Linked DNA regions of Pelodiscus sinensis. The protein of the gene in region 1 interacts with the protein of each later gene in a pairwise test. Links are inferred from orthologs where the notes say so. Each region holds a gene or a part of one and is shown in the gene's direction. Other genes may lie near its edges.

Region 1 (7,001 bases):
TCGTGGAATCTGTACTTTGGCTGCGACGCGGGCTGCTGCGGGGAAGGCCTGTGACCGCTCACCTGGTGGTATCAGACCCAGATGCCCATCCCCATCTCCAGAGCCAGGCTGGAGCATCATGCAGACTCCTGGGCCCTGTTCTTAACTCGGCCGCGGATGTCTGTGCAGCCGGCGGCGGCTCAGTTTTGCCACCTGTAGAATGGGTTTAGTCGTGCTGCCTTCCCCGGGGGTGGCGAGGCTTAATTAACTTTTGGGATGTGCCACTGACAGGGAGCTGGACACAGTTGTGTTCAGTGCCAGGGACAATGCACAGAGCCACAAGAAAGACCTCGCTACATTCTTGCACCCTCCGCCCCCACCCGCGACTGTACAAAGCTACTCTGTTAGGGAACGCCAGTACCAAGGGGCAGGCAAACCGTGAAGCCGGTAGCTGTTCCACAGTCAAGCGTGGGTGTTGTCAGATCCTGCCTCCCGCCCCTCCCCCCCCCCCCCCCCCCCCCCGTCCAGCCCCAAGGAACCCATTTGCGGCGATGCACTGGAGCTTAGCAGGAACAGCAGGCGCCTGTGTCCTGCAAATGGAAAGAAAACAGGGTAGGAGACTCCCTGGCCGGAAAAGCGAGCCCAGGCCTGCGCTTGTAGCCTAACCACTATCCTGTCCTGCTGCATCAGTGTCAGGGTGTCAGACCGACCCTGTGCCCAAGGATCCCCTAAGCTTTGCAAACAACTCTCAGCTCAGCCCCGAGCACGTCTGGCTGGCTAGTCAGCCAGGGAGTCACTGCAGAAAGGGCTGCAGGTCGCGTGCGCGGATAAGACTGAGGGGCTGCAGGTCGGACTCCCTGCTCCAGCACCCTCGGCACCTGGCTGGTCCCGGAGGAGGGATTTTGCCGGGCCAAGAGAGGTCAATTCTGGCCCAGCTGCCAACCTGCCGCCTCCGCCACGCCCTGAACTGGCCGATCCTGCCCTGAACTGGCCGATCCCGCCCTGCTGGGTTCCTGGCCAATGACCTGCTCAGGCTGCTAGTGGCTGCTGGCCCGGGACTGCCACCGGCTCCAGTCCAGGCTGCCCCACAGCTGCTGCCAAACCTGCCCCATGGCTGCCACCACCTGCCCCGCTGCCCTGCGGCCTGGCTCCCGGCCAGTCCCTCCCGCTGGCTGAGTCCCCTCCATTGGGGCTGCCTGGCCTAGGAACAGCTGTGGGGTCCTGCCAGGGAGTTGCCAGACCAGAGCATCCCGGTTTTCAGAGGTTCTGCCAGGCCTGTCGTTCTATTGAGACTGTGCTGTCTGGGGGTAGCAGAGAGTCCCTGGGGACGACGTGTCTCCGCGCCGGCCCATTCGGGTAGGGTGTTGGTCTCACCTTTGTGTGGCCTTGCGCAATATGTTGGCAAAACCCCATCTGTGGCAATGGCAAACACGCAAAGCCAGGGGGCAGGTGATAAAGGAAACACAACAAGCCGCGGGCGTGTCAGCGTAAGCCAGCGGAGGACGGGCTCCCTGTCTCCTTTCACTCAGGAGCCCGTTGGGGGGCAGGGCAGTTTTCTTGAGCTTTTGGGCGCTGGCTCCTGGGAAGCCAGGCTGCTCAGCAGCAAACGGTATTGGGGGGCACCTGCCTTGTTAGCTAGGAAAGGGGTCCCAGGAGCGTCAGGCCAGGCTGGTCTGTTCTTTTGAATCGTAGCCAGTGGCGTGCACCAGCCTCTTAGTTTTGGTTGAAGGTTTCTCTTCCCATAACGCAGCCCCCGGGGGTGTCATTGCAAGGGCTCCCCAGGGCTCCGCACAGGGACTGGGATCTCAGGCAGACGCTGGGTGCTCAGGCCCTTTGGAGGCAGAGGAGCTGGGATTTCTGGGCGTGGCCAGGGTGAGGGGCTGGGATGTCCCAGGGAGACGCGGCAAAGGGACTCCGGGTGCAAATTGTTGATCTGCAAGGCGAGCCTGGGATGGCCCAGAAGAGGTGGTTGGCTGACAGGCTGCTGGCGGCAGGTTCTGCCACCCAGCCAGCGGGGCTGACAGCCGCCATGGGCCCCTAAATAAGGTGGAGGGCTCGGCTCTCCCAGAAAGGGGCGGGGCCTCAGGTGGAAGGGGCGGGGCTGAGGCAGCCAGCTCGCTGCAGTCCCCGCCCCATCCACATTGTGCCAATGACTTAACCAAGAACCCTGGGCCCCTTTGAATTGCCGCCCCCCTCGCCCCCCCCCTTGGCCAGCCTGCACCCCGCCAAGCCCAAGCAAGGCTCCCATCAGCTGGCGTAACACGGTGACTCGCAGCCCCTCACCGTGGCCATGCAGCACTGAGCATTGCAAACACCCTGTCGTCATGGGGTCTCCAGGGTCACCTGGCCCCTGGCTGCAGACGGGGCCCTTTCAAGCCAATGGAATTGGCCGGGCCGGTCTCCCCTTCAGCGGCCCAGGCAGTGCCAGTATTAACAGCCCCTGGCTGTGTCCGTATCCTGCACCCCTGGACCAAGCGCCACATGAGCTCTCCTCTCATCCGGGGGGCGGAGGCTCCGATCGCCATGCTGGCCAAGCTTGTGGGTCTGGTTGCCGCTGGGGCCCAGGCTGTGCGATGTGCTAGCCAACGCCGGGCAGCGGTTGCCAGCGGCAACCAGGCTCTCAGGGAGGACCAAGGCCTCGCAGCAGCTTTGAATTTGTCCCAGAGGGTCACACGGCGGCGGGAGGGATTCGTAGCGGACTGGGCTGAGGCGAGGGAACGATGGGCAGGAGCAGCGACCCCAGCCTGCAGCTGGGAGGTGACATACTCAAGGCCACAAGGCAGAGAGCAGAGCCGGGAGTCAGCCCTGGTCCCTGCTCTGTATCCTCACCCGCTAGGCCGCGCTGCCCCTGTGCTTGATGTTGACCTTGCAGATAGGACGGGGGGGGGATTTTTTGGGGTGGGAGGCCTCTGTTCCACAGGAAAATCAGTCAGGGGCTGCACACAAGTGAGAAGGAAAAACCCCTCACCTGCAACTGAAAGACCCTCCTCACGCTCCCCTCACACACAGCTGGCAGGGGGGCAGGCTAGTAGATTTTTGTGCCCCCCCATAGGCTCTGGGGTGGGGGCCAAAACAGGGAGGGGTTCAATGTGTGTGTGTGTGGGGGGGGCTGCTGGGAAGCGCATGTGGAGTGTGGTGCCTGAGTGGGAAGGTGCAGGAGCAGGCTGAGCAGGGAAGGTGGGGGGCAGGAGCAGAGTGGGGGCTGAGGATGTGGGGGGGGAGGAGGGTGCAGGAGCAGGCTGGGCATTGGGAGGGGGGGTGGTCTGTGCTGCCATTTCCCCAGCCCAGGGGAGGGGGAGGGGCAGCGCTTGGAGCCACTTCCTCCCCCTGCCAGGCAGAGTCTGAGGGCTGGACCCAGCTCCAGGCTTGCCTGACTCCAGCGAGGCTCGGGGCAACGAGGCTGCAGGGCTGGAGTGCCAGCACCGGCTCCCCAATGCTGCAAGGGTGCCGGGAGAGCTGGCTCCAGACAAGTCGAGGGCTGGATCCAGCTCCTAGCCTTAGGTTCCCCACCCCGAGCTCAGGGAAGCCGTTCTCCAGTTTAGAACCTGCCTCCCATCTACACCCTGAGCCCCTGGGCCATTTTCGGGCCAGTGACCCGCATGCTAGGAGCGATGGTGGAAACGATGCCCCCAAGAGGCGGGGACTCCAGATGCCTGCGCAGAGCAGCCTGAGGCGCAGATGCCCTGCTTCACAGACTTTGGGCATGGGTGATCCTAGCCAGTGCTTATTTTGTTTAAAAAAAAAAAGTGCCAGTACTCCAGTTGTTGAGCAAAAAAAAAAGATGGGGTGGGGCCGGCCTTGCCCTTTTAAGACAAGCAGCCCCTTTAAGACACACGGCCCAGCCGACTGTCGAACATTTGCCTGTAGAGAGGTGCTGGTATGCTTATGCTCTGTTCTTTCCAGGTAAGCGCTGACTGGAGGTTCCAGTACAGTGTCCTGGGCAGTACCGTCACAAAAAAACCCCTGATCCTAGCACCTTTCGCCAACATTGAGCCTGGATGGAGGAAGACTTCCTCTCTCTCTCCGGCACCTGCCTGTTCCCTGGGCTGCCGAATTCCAATCTGCTGACGGCCAGGTCAGCTGATAGGGCGAGGCCCCGCCCAGACAGGCAGCACCTGCTCTTATAAAGTCACCGGCCCGTGGGAGAGGCAGGTAGAGCGTGCAGGAGAAGACACCTGCTCCGGAGCTGTCCCACAGGTAAGGAGGGATGCCCCTTCTGCATGGCTGTGGGTGGGATGTGTGAAGTGTCACCCTGCTTCCCCCACTCCACTTCCCCTTCTTTGGGGTGTTTGGCGTCCGCAGGGTTGGGAATCAAATCCTGGGGCGTGTGATGGGCTCCAAGTCAGCCCAGTTAGTCGTAGTATCCCAGGGCTGGAAGGGGCCTCAGGAGTCCTCGAGTCCAGCCCCCCGCCCATAGCAGGACCAGCCCCATCGAAATCATCCCAGGTCTGCATTCGACTCTGGGAGAGGCTGGTCCTCCTTGCTGGGCTGCTCCGCCCTGTGCTGTTTGGCCAGGGGGTGGGTGGCAGGGGCGGGAGGGGACACCGGCTGTTGATTTTTTAAATTGGGCTTTCGCTTGTTGTAACTGAGCACATGATAGGCCCAGGTTCTGATCCCTGGCAGCAGCATTTCCACTGGGACCAGGGTGACCCCCAGGTACCCACTTCACAACAGGATGGGGGCCAGTTTTTCCAAAGGGGGCATCGCCTGGGGTGCACACCGGCTGCTGAGAGCCTCGGGGCCCCGCCGTGGGCCCTGGGCACTGACACCTCTGGAGACAGGTTCCCCGCTAATGCAAATTGTCCAAGGCCCATGGAGTCCAGCTGGGCTCTGACGATTTCCACACCCCTTTGCCCCAGAGGGCGACGTTGCTGTGGAGCCTGGGGGCTCGTGGGAAGGGAGCGCTGCTCCCCGTGTTGGGAAATCGCTCTGGGATCTGCTTCGCTTTGTGGCCGTCCTGGCGCGTCCGAATCGGGCGGAGAGATGCTAGGACGCGGTGGGAGTGGGGGGGTTCCGCTACATTTTCCATCCGCTGGGGAGTCACCCGGTTCTGCTCCCTCGGGAGTCACCCGGTCACTGACTTGACTGCACCCTGGCTGGGTCCCAAAGTTTCTGGGCTGGGGAAGGCCATGACATTTGCCCAGCTGAGGTTGGGGGCTAGTTTCCATATGCCCGGCACTGCCTGTCTCGCTACCTCTGAACTCCTGGGCACTGGGGCAGGTGCCGAGGCAGGGCGGAGTGGGGGGCCCCCAGACCCAAGGTGATGCTATTTCTCTTGACTGCGGCTGGCCTCTGGCATGTGCTCCTGTTTTGAGATCCTGCACGTAGAATCCTGGCATTGACTCCACCGTTCCCGGCAAGCCTGATCTCGGGGGGTCGTGTTCTCGGAGCTAAGCTCTGTTTCCCTGCCTGCCTTTGCAACCCGCAGCCCTGCCAGTGGGGAAACAGACGGCCAGGGCTCCGGAACACCGTCTAGTTGGCTCTGACTAATCCTGACTTGAGCAATCCCCCCCCCCCCACACACACACACACAGAGCCGTCGCGGGTCGGACCGTGGCTGGCTGACGACAGCGTGACATGAGCTGGGCTGGGCCAGTCTTTGCTATCAGATCAGCTGTTTCCTAAGGACGTGGGTGGGAAGAGAGCCACCTCCTGCCTCTCTGGGGTGTTTAACACCAGGCTGGACAGATCCAGGGGGCAGGGCCCCTGGCTCAGATCCACGCTTCAGTGGAAGCTAGGCGTCTGGCTCACGTCCCTGCCTCCTACGCTAGTTTCAGAACGTGCCAGAGGCCAGATTCTTCCCCGGCGTAACTTGGAAAGCTGCCCTCCTTTGCACCCGCTGGGAACTGGCCGCACTCTGCAGGGGAGGTTCAGGCCAGCCCGCAGGAAGGGCAACAAGTAAAGCTACACGGCTGAGTCAAGCAGGGTCTTGTGTCTTCCACCTTCCCTGCTCGGTTTCCCAGCACTCCAGCTGCAGGTCCCGGGAGTCCGGCCTGGGGTCCGCCGGCAGGAGTAGGCCTCAGTCGCAGGAGAGGAGGATCCCATTTGATCTCGGTGCCACTGGAGTCTGGGCCCCTCTGTCAGTGTCGCGGGGAGGGCCCTGATGCAGCACACAGCTGGTTTTGTGGGGTTCTCTGTGGGTGGGACGCAGCCGTCGGGGGGCTCTGGTCTGACAGCTCTGCCCAGAGAGACACCCGCCGGGCTCGCAGCAGCGTGTGCTTTGCCGTCAGACCGGGACTTGCCATGAAACTGCGCTATGGCCAGTGCCGGTGTCCCTGGAGGGCCACCCACCGCCCCAGTCCGGCTGCCGGCACAGGAATCCTTGCAGCCCTGAAGGGCTGTCTGTACCCTCCCCCAAGTCCAGCCCCTGCTCCACCCCCACCCTCTTCCCACCCCTGCTGTGCCCTCTCCCTCCCCCAATAGCATCCCTTTCCGCAAACTCCTCCCCCATCAGACGCAGCCTCTGGTGGCCTGGCAGGGGGACAGCTGGGGTCAGCCCCTGCTCCCCCACACTGCGGTGGTGGGAGCCGTGGGGAAGTGGAGTGATGCAGCAGCCTCCCGGGCTAACCTGTGTATGGGACCCATCCTGTCCCCAGGTTGGGTGGGGCAGCCGGGTGGGGTGGGGTGTGGCCACTGTGGGGCCTGAGCCGGCCACGCTGAGCCATCCCATGGGTGGGGCAGCTCTGCGTCCCCTGCATCCCCCACGTGCCAGGAGCGACACGGAGCTCGCAGCAAGAACTGTCTCTAGCCCCATGGACTGCCAGTGCTGGGGGAGAAGGGGGCACAGACAGGGCTGGGGGACACGCGGGGTGCGGGAAGAGCGCAGGCTGGCAGGCAGGGCTGGGAGACAGGTGTGTGTGGGACATCCTCCCCGCCTCCCAGAGCCATTGCCGGAGTTGGGGGGAGGTGGCCCACGAGAACCTGAGAAATGGCCCTGAGATGAATTGTTTGAGACCCCTGCTGTAGCTCTCCCATTTGTGCCTTAGGCAGAGCGGAGGACGACCAGCCCTTGTGGCCGTTAG
Region 2 (7,794 bases), on another chromosome or scaffold:
AATCAACGGGCTGGGAACGCTGCCACCTGGTGGAGGTTTGAAGAAATCTCTCTCCTCTCTCTGCGGGGGGGGGAGGGGGCTGCACATCCCTGCACTCCGGATACAGGGCCCTGATTCTCATTGACCCCCTTCCTGCTCGGGACAGGCCTGTGCTCCCTGCAGTCTGGGCCCAGTCCCCCCCCCAGCGCTGGTGCAGCCTTGGGGCTGCTCTGACTCACTCCCTGCTCCCCTGAGCCCTGGGAGGCAGGGAGCAGAGACCTCACGCCAGCCCCGCACCAACAGCGGGGGGGGGAGACTCTCCAGGGGCCCCCCTGCCTCCCCAGGACGGCCCCTCAGTGTGGCCAGTGCATGCCGAGAACCAGGGCCTTTGGCTCTAAGGAGAATCCCTATTAGCTGGCAGCAGTAGTTGGGCTTTTATCCGCTCTGCTGGCTGGTCGCTTGAGGGTGACGCACTCACACTGAGCCAGGGGCTAGTACCCAGGGCGTCGTGGGGCAGGGCTGGCAGGAGCCATTTCACCCCATGTGCCCCATTTTCTCCTCCCCCAGACTGCGGGGCCCCCCCCTTCCAGCTGGCCTACGAGGCGGAGCTGGGCAGCAGCCCCACGTATGACGAGCTGCGGCGCCTGGCAGTGGAGGAGAGGAGGCGGCCAGCCATCCCCGACGCCTGGAGGCGGGCAGGCCAGGTGCTGGGGCTTGGGGGGGGCAGGGACAATGGGGACGGGGAGGGGGACACGAGTGGGCAGGGATGAGGGAGGGAGGACGCTGCCCATTTAAAGGGCCGGCGCCCAATACGTCTCTGTAGCGTCACTCCCCCAGCTCAAGACCCTTTGGTGACCCGCCCCCGGCTTTCCAGTCCTGCCCTCAGGCCACGGGTGGGGGGGGTCTTGTCTCTGCTGTGGGAGGTTACCTTGCGGGCGACTCCACCAGCCAGGCCTGCCCAGGCCCTGAGAGACCCCCTCTGCTCTCCTCTCCTGCCCCAGGTCTCCGTCGGCCTGCGGGAGCTGCTGGAGGACTGCTGGGACCCCGATCCCGAGGCCCGGCTGACGGCAGAGTGCACCCGCCAGCGGCTCCAGAGCCTGGGGGCTGAGTGGTCAGCAGGGGGCGCTGAGCTGGCCAAGGTGCTGCCCCCGGGACACGGTGCCTGGGAACGGTCCCTGGGCTGGTGCTGACGGAGGAAGAGGGACGTGGGGGGCAGGGACAGCGAAGTGCCCCCGGCTGCTCCACGCCCGGCTCCTGTTGTCCAGACCCCCCCCCCATCACCCCTGCTGGATGGGATCGGCGCTGCCTGAGCAGGCTGCCCCCTAGTGGAGCTGACACGACTCTTCTCCATCCCCCGGGTGCCCATCCGGCCAGTGAGCCGGCCTGCAGGCCACCTGGCCAGAAGCTATGGCCGTGGGCGTGTGCCCCACATCAAAGGGTCGAGCCCCCGTGCGGCTTAGCCACAGATTTCTGTGTGGTCGGCTCTTATCTTCATTGAATCGTGTCCTGTCTTCCGGGTCCAGGCCTCAGGGTGGCTCTCACTTACACGCCGCTCCCTTGGGCCCTGGGAGGCAGCCACTCCCGTACCACAGTATGGTGCTTTGGCCAGGCTCCTGATCTTCCTGGCTCTGGGCTGTGGGGTTGACACTCAGGAAGCGGGACTGACTGCTCCCTGAGCCCCAAAGTGCTTGCAGTGATGGCCACTGGGTGGGAAGGGAAACTGAGGCACCGAGCAGCAAAGCCCCTTGCCGCCATGCAGCTGAGCCTGAAGCCTAGTCTACTAAGAACATGAGAGCGGCCAGACGGGGTCAGACCAAAGGTCCATCCAGCCCCGTGTCCTGTCTGCCCCCAGTGGCCAATGCCAGGTGCCCCAGAGGGAGTGAACCGAACAGGCAATGATCAAGCGACCTCTCTCCTGCCATCCATCTCCACCCTCTGACACACAGAGCCTAGCGACACCATTCCTTACCCAGCCTGGCTAGTAGCCATTAATGGACCTAACATCCATGAATGTATCTAGTTCTCTTTTAAACCCTGTTTAGTCCTGGCCTTCACAACCTCCTCAGGCAGGGAGTTCCACAGGTTGACAATGCACTGTGTGAAGAAGAACTTCCTTGTATTTGTTTTAAACCTGCTGCCCATTAGTTTCATTTGGTGGCCCCTAGTTCTTATGTGATGGGAACAAGTAAATAACTTTTCCTTATTCACTTTCTCCACACCACTCAGGATTTTATAGACCTCGATCCTACCTCCTCTTAGTCTCCTCTTTTCCAAGCTGAAAAGTCCCAGTCTCTTTAATCTCTCCTCCTATGAGACCCGTTCCAAACCCCTCATCATTTTAGTTGCCCTTCTCTGAACCTTTTCTAATGCCAGTCTATCTTTTTTGAGGTGAGGAGACCACATCTGTACACAGTATTCAAGATGTGGGCGTCCCATGGATTTATATAGGGCCATAAGATATTCTCCGTCTTATTCTCTATCCCTTTTTAAATGATTCCTAACACCCTGTTTGCTTTTTTGACTGCCGCTGCTCACTGCGTGGACGTCTTCAAAGAACTGTCCACGATGACTCCAAGATCTCTTTCCTGATTAGTTGTAGCCAAATTAGCCCCCATCATATTGTATTATATATTGGGGTTATTTTTTCCAGTGTGCATTACTTTACATTTCTCCACATTAAATTTCATTTGCCATTGTGTTGCCCAGTCACTTAGTTTGGTGAGATCTTTTTGAAGTTGACGGGCGAGCTAAGACGGGCCCGCGGGCTCCCCTGGTGTCAGGGGATGTGGGGCCTGGAGCCCGTCTGATCCACTGCCGCAGGATGCGCATAGATCGGTGTTGCCCCCTTTAGCCTTGTCTGCGCCTCCTCAGTGCTGGGGCCAGGACTGAGCTGGGGGGATCAGGGGTCAAGTGGCGGCAGAGACAGAGGGGGTGGAGGCAGGACTAGAGGCGGAGTCAGTAGGGACTGGGTGTCACTCTCCCCCTTCCCCCCCACTCCGGGGTGACTCCTGAGGATCCGCTGGGGCCCTCGCACGTCGCAGGGCTAGCTCTGGGCTCTGCTACCTCCCCCTTAGTTCCCCGGGCGGGTTGCCTTGCAGTTTGGGGTCCTCTTGCCTAGTTTCTCAGGCCCAAAGGCCCACCTGTGATCGTCTCAGCTGCCTGCCCACCACCGGCCGGCACGGCCCTGAGTTACCTCCCACCTGGAGCAGCGGGGCCGTTAGGAAATCGTCCCCTCACGTTAACTCTGCCCCTGGTGAGGAGCCCCCCACGACGCAGGCCCCTGTTAGGCCCTCGCCTGCCCTATCGGCCCCGAGCCTCAGCCTGAAATCCCCCCTCCAGCCGTCCCTTGGCTGCACAGCCAGCCCCAGCTCCGGAGTCTCTGTCCAGAAGGCCGGTCCCCCCACAGCGTCCAGGAGGCTGGTCCCTGCAGCCGGGCGGAGCGTCAGGACTGTGGGGGGTGGAGAGTGGGGGGCGCAGGACTCAGGGCTGCTTTCCAGAGCTCAGCCCCACAGGAATCCAGCCCGTAATTTCTCCAGCACTGCGAACCTCTTACCAGCGGGAGCCAGAGCCCCTAGGGAGCTCAGCGTCCCTTCCAGGCCAGGGTTTACAGCGGTCCCGTCTCAGAAACCTCAGGGTCAGTCTGTGTCTATAACACAGCCATTACAGCTGGGTCCTGCCCTCCCCTGCCCACTAGGGCCCACTCCCCTTCGTGGGCCAGGGAGAGAACCCAGGAGTCCTGCCGCCCAGTCATCTGCTCCAGCCAGCCTGCAAACAGCCCAATGACTAAAACTTTTCCAGTTTTCCCCAGAGATTCCTCCACATCCCTCCCCCCCCCCGTAGGCCCAGCGCCCCGCTGCCCAATATCCTGGGCAGAGCAGGCTCCTTAAGGCCCTGGGTGCGGCTGCCAGGTGAGCCTGGCTTTCCCGCAGCGGCGTCAGAGCTGTGTGACTGGGCTGCGTTCCAGGACCGGCCTGTGCCCTTGGGACACACCCACGGCTCGATACTGACGAATCTCTCCAGGCCAGGCCCTGGTGCCAGTGTGTGTTGGGGGCAGGGCTGTCCCAGAGGGGTGCCCCCTAAGCTTTGTCTCCCACCGATTCGCTCCTGCACCTCGCAGAGCCTCTGGGCAGCTTCATGGGCTGATGAAGAGCACAAAGGTGAGGGCTAGCGGGGGGAGGTCTCTGCCCCACCCCTGTTGTCACCGCTTCCCATCTGGGCGCCGGACACGTCAGCAGGTTTTATCCTCCCGCCCCGTGGGACATGAGCCTCATTTATGGGTGGGGAAACTGAGGCCCAGGGCGGACTCTATGGCTTGCCCCAGGTCACCCGGGACGAACGTGGCGGAGGCAAGACTGTGCTCCAGATCTTCAGGCTGGTGGCCCACCCTTCCTCCTGCGCAGGGTGGATTTCCAGTGTGAGACGGGAGCCCGAATATTTCTTCGCCACCTCCTCTCTGAGGCACCTCTCCAGCATTAGCGGGTGAACCTCCCGAGCGTCGTCCGCCCCCCGCCCTGCCGTGCCCTGCTCCCACGGTGGAGGGGCGATGGTACCCCTGGCGGGGAAACTGAGGCACAGCCACCCGCAAACCCCTCAGACGCTGCGGCTGCTGCTCCCGGAGTTTGCCCCGCGCCCCCGAGGCCGGGCCAGGCGACCCCCGGGAGACTCCAGCAGCCTGAGGCCCGAGCCCATCGCTAACCGCTAGGGCGCGCTGCCCTGCCGCCCCCCCACCCCTCGGGGTAGAACCCAGGAGTCCGGGCCTGGCCCCGCCCCCTCCCGCTGCCTGCCCGCGGGGGGCGGGGCCACCGGGCGGTGACGGACAGTCACGGGGGGCGGGGCCACCGCGCTCCAGGAAGCCGGCGGGGCTCAGCTGGGCAGCGCGGTGCCGAGTCGAGGTGAGTGAGGGGGGGCGGGTGTCTGTGTGTCCCCCCCCCACTGTGCCCCCCTGCACCTCCCGTCCCCTTCCCCCCGTGCCCCCCTGCACCTCCCGTCCCCCCCCCGTGCCCCCCTGCACCCCCCCTCCCCCCTCTGTGCCCCCTGCACCCCCCGTCCCCTCCCCCCTCTGTGCCCCCTGCACCGTGCCCCCCTGCACCCCCCGTCCCCTCCCCCCTCTGTGCCCCCTGCACCCCCCCGTCCCCTCCCCCCCGTGTCTCCCTGCACCCCCCCGTCCCCTCCCCCCTGTGTCCCCCTGCACCTCCCGTCCCCTCCCCCCTCTGTGCCCCCTGCACCGTGCCCCCCTGCACCCCCCGTCCCCTCCCCCCCTGTGTCCCCCTGCACCTCCCGTCCCCTCCCCCCTCTGTGCCCCCTGCACCGTGCCCCCCTGCACCCCCCGTCCCCTCCCCCTCCCCCCTCTGTCCCCCTGCACCCCCCCGTCCCCTCCCCCCTGTGTCCCCCCTCCCCCCCCGCCCGTCCCTGTGTGTACGCGTATCCCCTGCCCTGCCAGTCAGGACCCATCCAGCCCTTCCCCCCCCCCTAACTCCTGCGCCCCAGAGCCGACTCTCCTCTGCTGTAGGCGGCTAGATCGGTTCGGCTCCGGCGTGGCCCCCCCGGGCTGTGGGTGCGCACCGCGTTGCTGAGCCCCGGCCCCGCTTGCAGAGCGCCACGGGCGGGGCGCTCCGCCTGCCCTTGGACCCTGCGCGGGCGGGGCGGCCGGTTCCGCTTGGCTCGGGGCGGCTCCTGTGCAGAGGGCGGGGGCTGGGAACGGGGGGGGGAATTGCAAAGCGCTGTCCCCTGAATGGACCCCCCCCGGCCCGGGGGGGCTGACACCGAACTGCCCCTGCTCGGGGGGGGGCTGACACTGAACTGCCCCTGCTGGGGGGGGGGGCTGACACCGAACTGCCCCTGCTTGGGGGGGCCTGACACTGAACTGCCCCTGCTCGGGGGGCGGGCGGGGCTGACACTGAACTGCCCCTGCTGGGGGGGCGGGGGGGGCTGACACTGAACTGCCCCTGCTGGGGGATGGCGGGGGGGGGCTGACACCGAACTGCCCCTGCTCGGGGGGGCGGCGGGGGGGGCTGACACTGAACTGCCCCTGCTGGGGGGGGGCTGACACTGAACTGCCCCTGCTGGGGGGGGGCGGCGGGGGGCTGACACTGAACTGCCCCTGCTGGGGGGGGCGGGGGGGGCTGACACTGAACTGCCCCTGCTCGGGGGGCGGGGGGGGCTGACACTGAACTGCCCCTGCTGGGGGGGGCGGGGGGGGGCTGACACTGAACTGCCCCTGCTGCGGGGGGCGGGGGGAGCTGACACTGAACTGCCCCTGCTCGGGGGGGTGGAGGGGAGCTGACACTGAACTGCCCCTGCTGGGGGGCGGGGGGGGGCTGACACTGAACTGCCCCTGCTGGGGGGCGGGGGGGGGGGCTGACACTGAACTGCCCCTGCTGGGGGGCGGGGGGGGGCTGACACCGAACTGCCCCTGCTGGGGGGGGCGGGGGGGGGCTGACACCGAACTGCCCCTGCTGGGGGGGGCGGGGGGGGCTGACACCGAACTGCCCCTGCTCGGGGGGGGCGGGGGGGGGCTGACACCGAACTGCCCCTGCTGGGGGGGCGGGGGGGGGCTGACACCGAACTGCCCCTGCTGGGGGGCGGGGGGGGGCTGACACCGAACTGCCCCTGCTCGGGGGGGCGGGGGGGGGCTGACACCGAACTGCCCCTGCTCGGGGGGGCGGGGGGGGCTGACACCGAACTGCCCCTGCTCGGGGGGGCGGGGGGGGCTGACACCGAACTGCCCCTGCTCGGGGGGGCGGGGGGGGGCTGACACCGAACTGCCCCTGCTGGGGGGCGGGGGGGGCTGACACCGAACTGCCCCTGCTCGGGGGGGCGGGGGGGGCTGACACTGAACTGCCCCTGCTGGGGGGGGCGGGGGGGGGCTGACACTGAACTGCCCCTGCTGGGGGGGGCGGGGGGGGGCTGACACTGAACTTCCGCCGGCTCCGAGCCCCCAGGCCACGTTGTCCGACCCGGGGCTGGGGCTCCAGGGGAGAAAGCGGCAGCTGCTGCCTCCTGCCGGTCGCCCCTGTGCCTGGGGCCCGCGGGGCGGGAGGGGACCAGGGCCCTGACCCCCCCGTGGCGGCCGTGGGGCCGGTGGCTGAGCGCTGCGCTAGCAGACCCCTGCCAGGGGACCTGGGGCAAATCGCTGCCCCTCTCCGGACTCCCCTTCCGCCCTTTGTTGCCAGGGCTGGACCCCCAGGCTGTGTTGCCAGCGGGGCGCCCGGGTCTAGGCAGGCAGCAGCCTCAAGGGTGGGCCCTGATCTCCTTTAGGGCCCCCCCCTGCCCGAGGCCTGGCTGACCCCCGCTTTGCCTCACAGCCTCTCTCCCCCTCCAGGTGACCGGAGACGCCTCCTCTCTGAGCATGTGGGATCCCAACGCAGGTGAGGGGTGCTGGGCGCGCTGGCGGGGTTCTCCGCTGCTCCTCTGGCCTCCCCTCTGACGCTCGCCTGCTCTCTGCCCCAGCAGGGCCCCTCCAAAGCGGCAGGTTTGGCGCTCGCCCGGCGCGGCGTGGCTGCTCCCTGGGAAGGGGGCTGGGGGCAGATTCGGCAGGACGCTGCAGAGTGCAAGGGGGAAGATTCCCGCTCCTGAGCTGGTCTTTTCCCGTGACCCTCTGAGGAGCGGCCCCCGGCTGTGGAGTGAAACAGGATTAGCTGCCCAGGCCGCAGGGATCCCCCCAAGGGCCGGGGCTCTCACGGTGAAAAGGCTGCTCTCCTAGCTGCACCAGGCCGTCACTCCGCCTCCGTCCGCTTGCCGGGAGTTTGCGTAACTCTCTCCCCGAGGGCTCCCGGGCCACCCTGGCGGCTGCAGCCGGTCGCCCTAGCGCCGTGG

Evidence for each region. The genes of interacting proteins can lie anywhere in the genome.
Region 2: the proteins of SDCBP2 (region 1) and PRR13 interact in binary tests that used the Homo sapiens proteins (3 or more experiments, as listed by UniProt). The two-hybrid records come from large-scale screens. The link is inferred for Pelodiscus sinensis from reciprocal best matches to the Homo sapiens genes SDCBP2 and PRR13.

The regions. Positions count from the first base shown.
Region 1 is NC_134728.1:2,655,355-2,662,355, reverse strand, and holds the start of SDCBP2 (syntenin-2), read left to right. Parts: upstream 1-3,940; 5' UTR 3,941-4,176; intron 4,177-7,001.
Region 2 is NC_134729.1:335,776-343,569, forward strand, and holds the start of PRR13 (proline-rich protein 13), read left to right. Parts: upstream 1-4,758; 5' UTR 4,759-4,871; intron 4,872-7,300; 5' UTR 7,301-7,327; coding exon 7,328-7,346; intron 7,347-7,794. Other genes in the region: AMHR2 (anti-Muellerian hormone type-2 receptor), read left to right, coding at 547-683, 981-1,169. UniProt on the Homo sapiens protein: Negatively regulates TSP1 expression at the level of transcription. This down-regulation was shown to reduce taxane-induced apoptosis.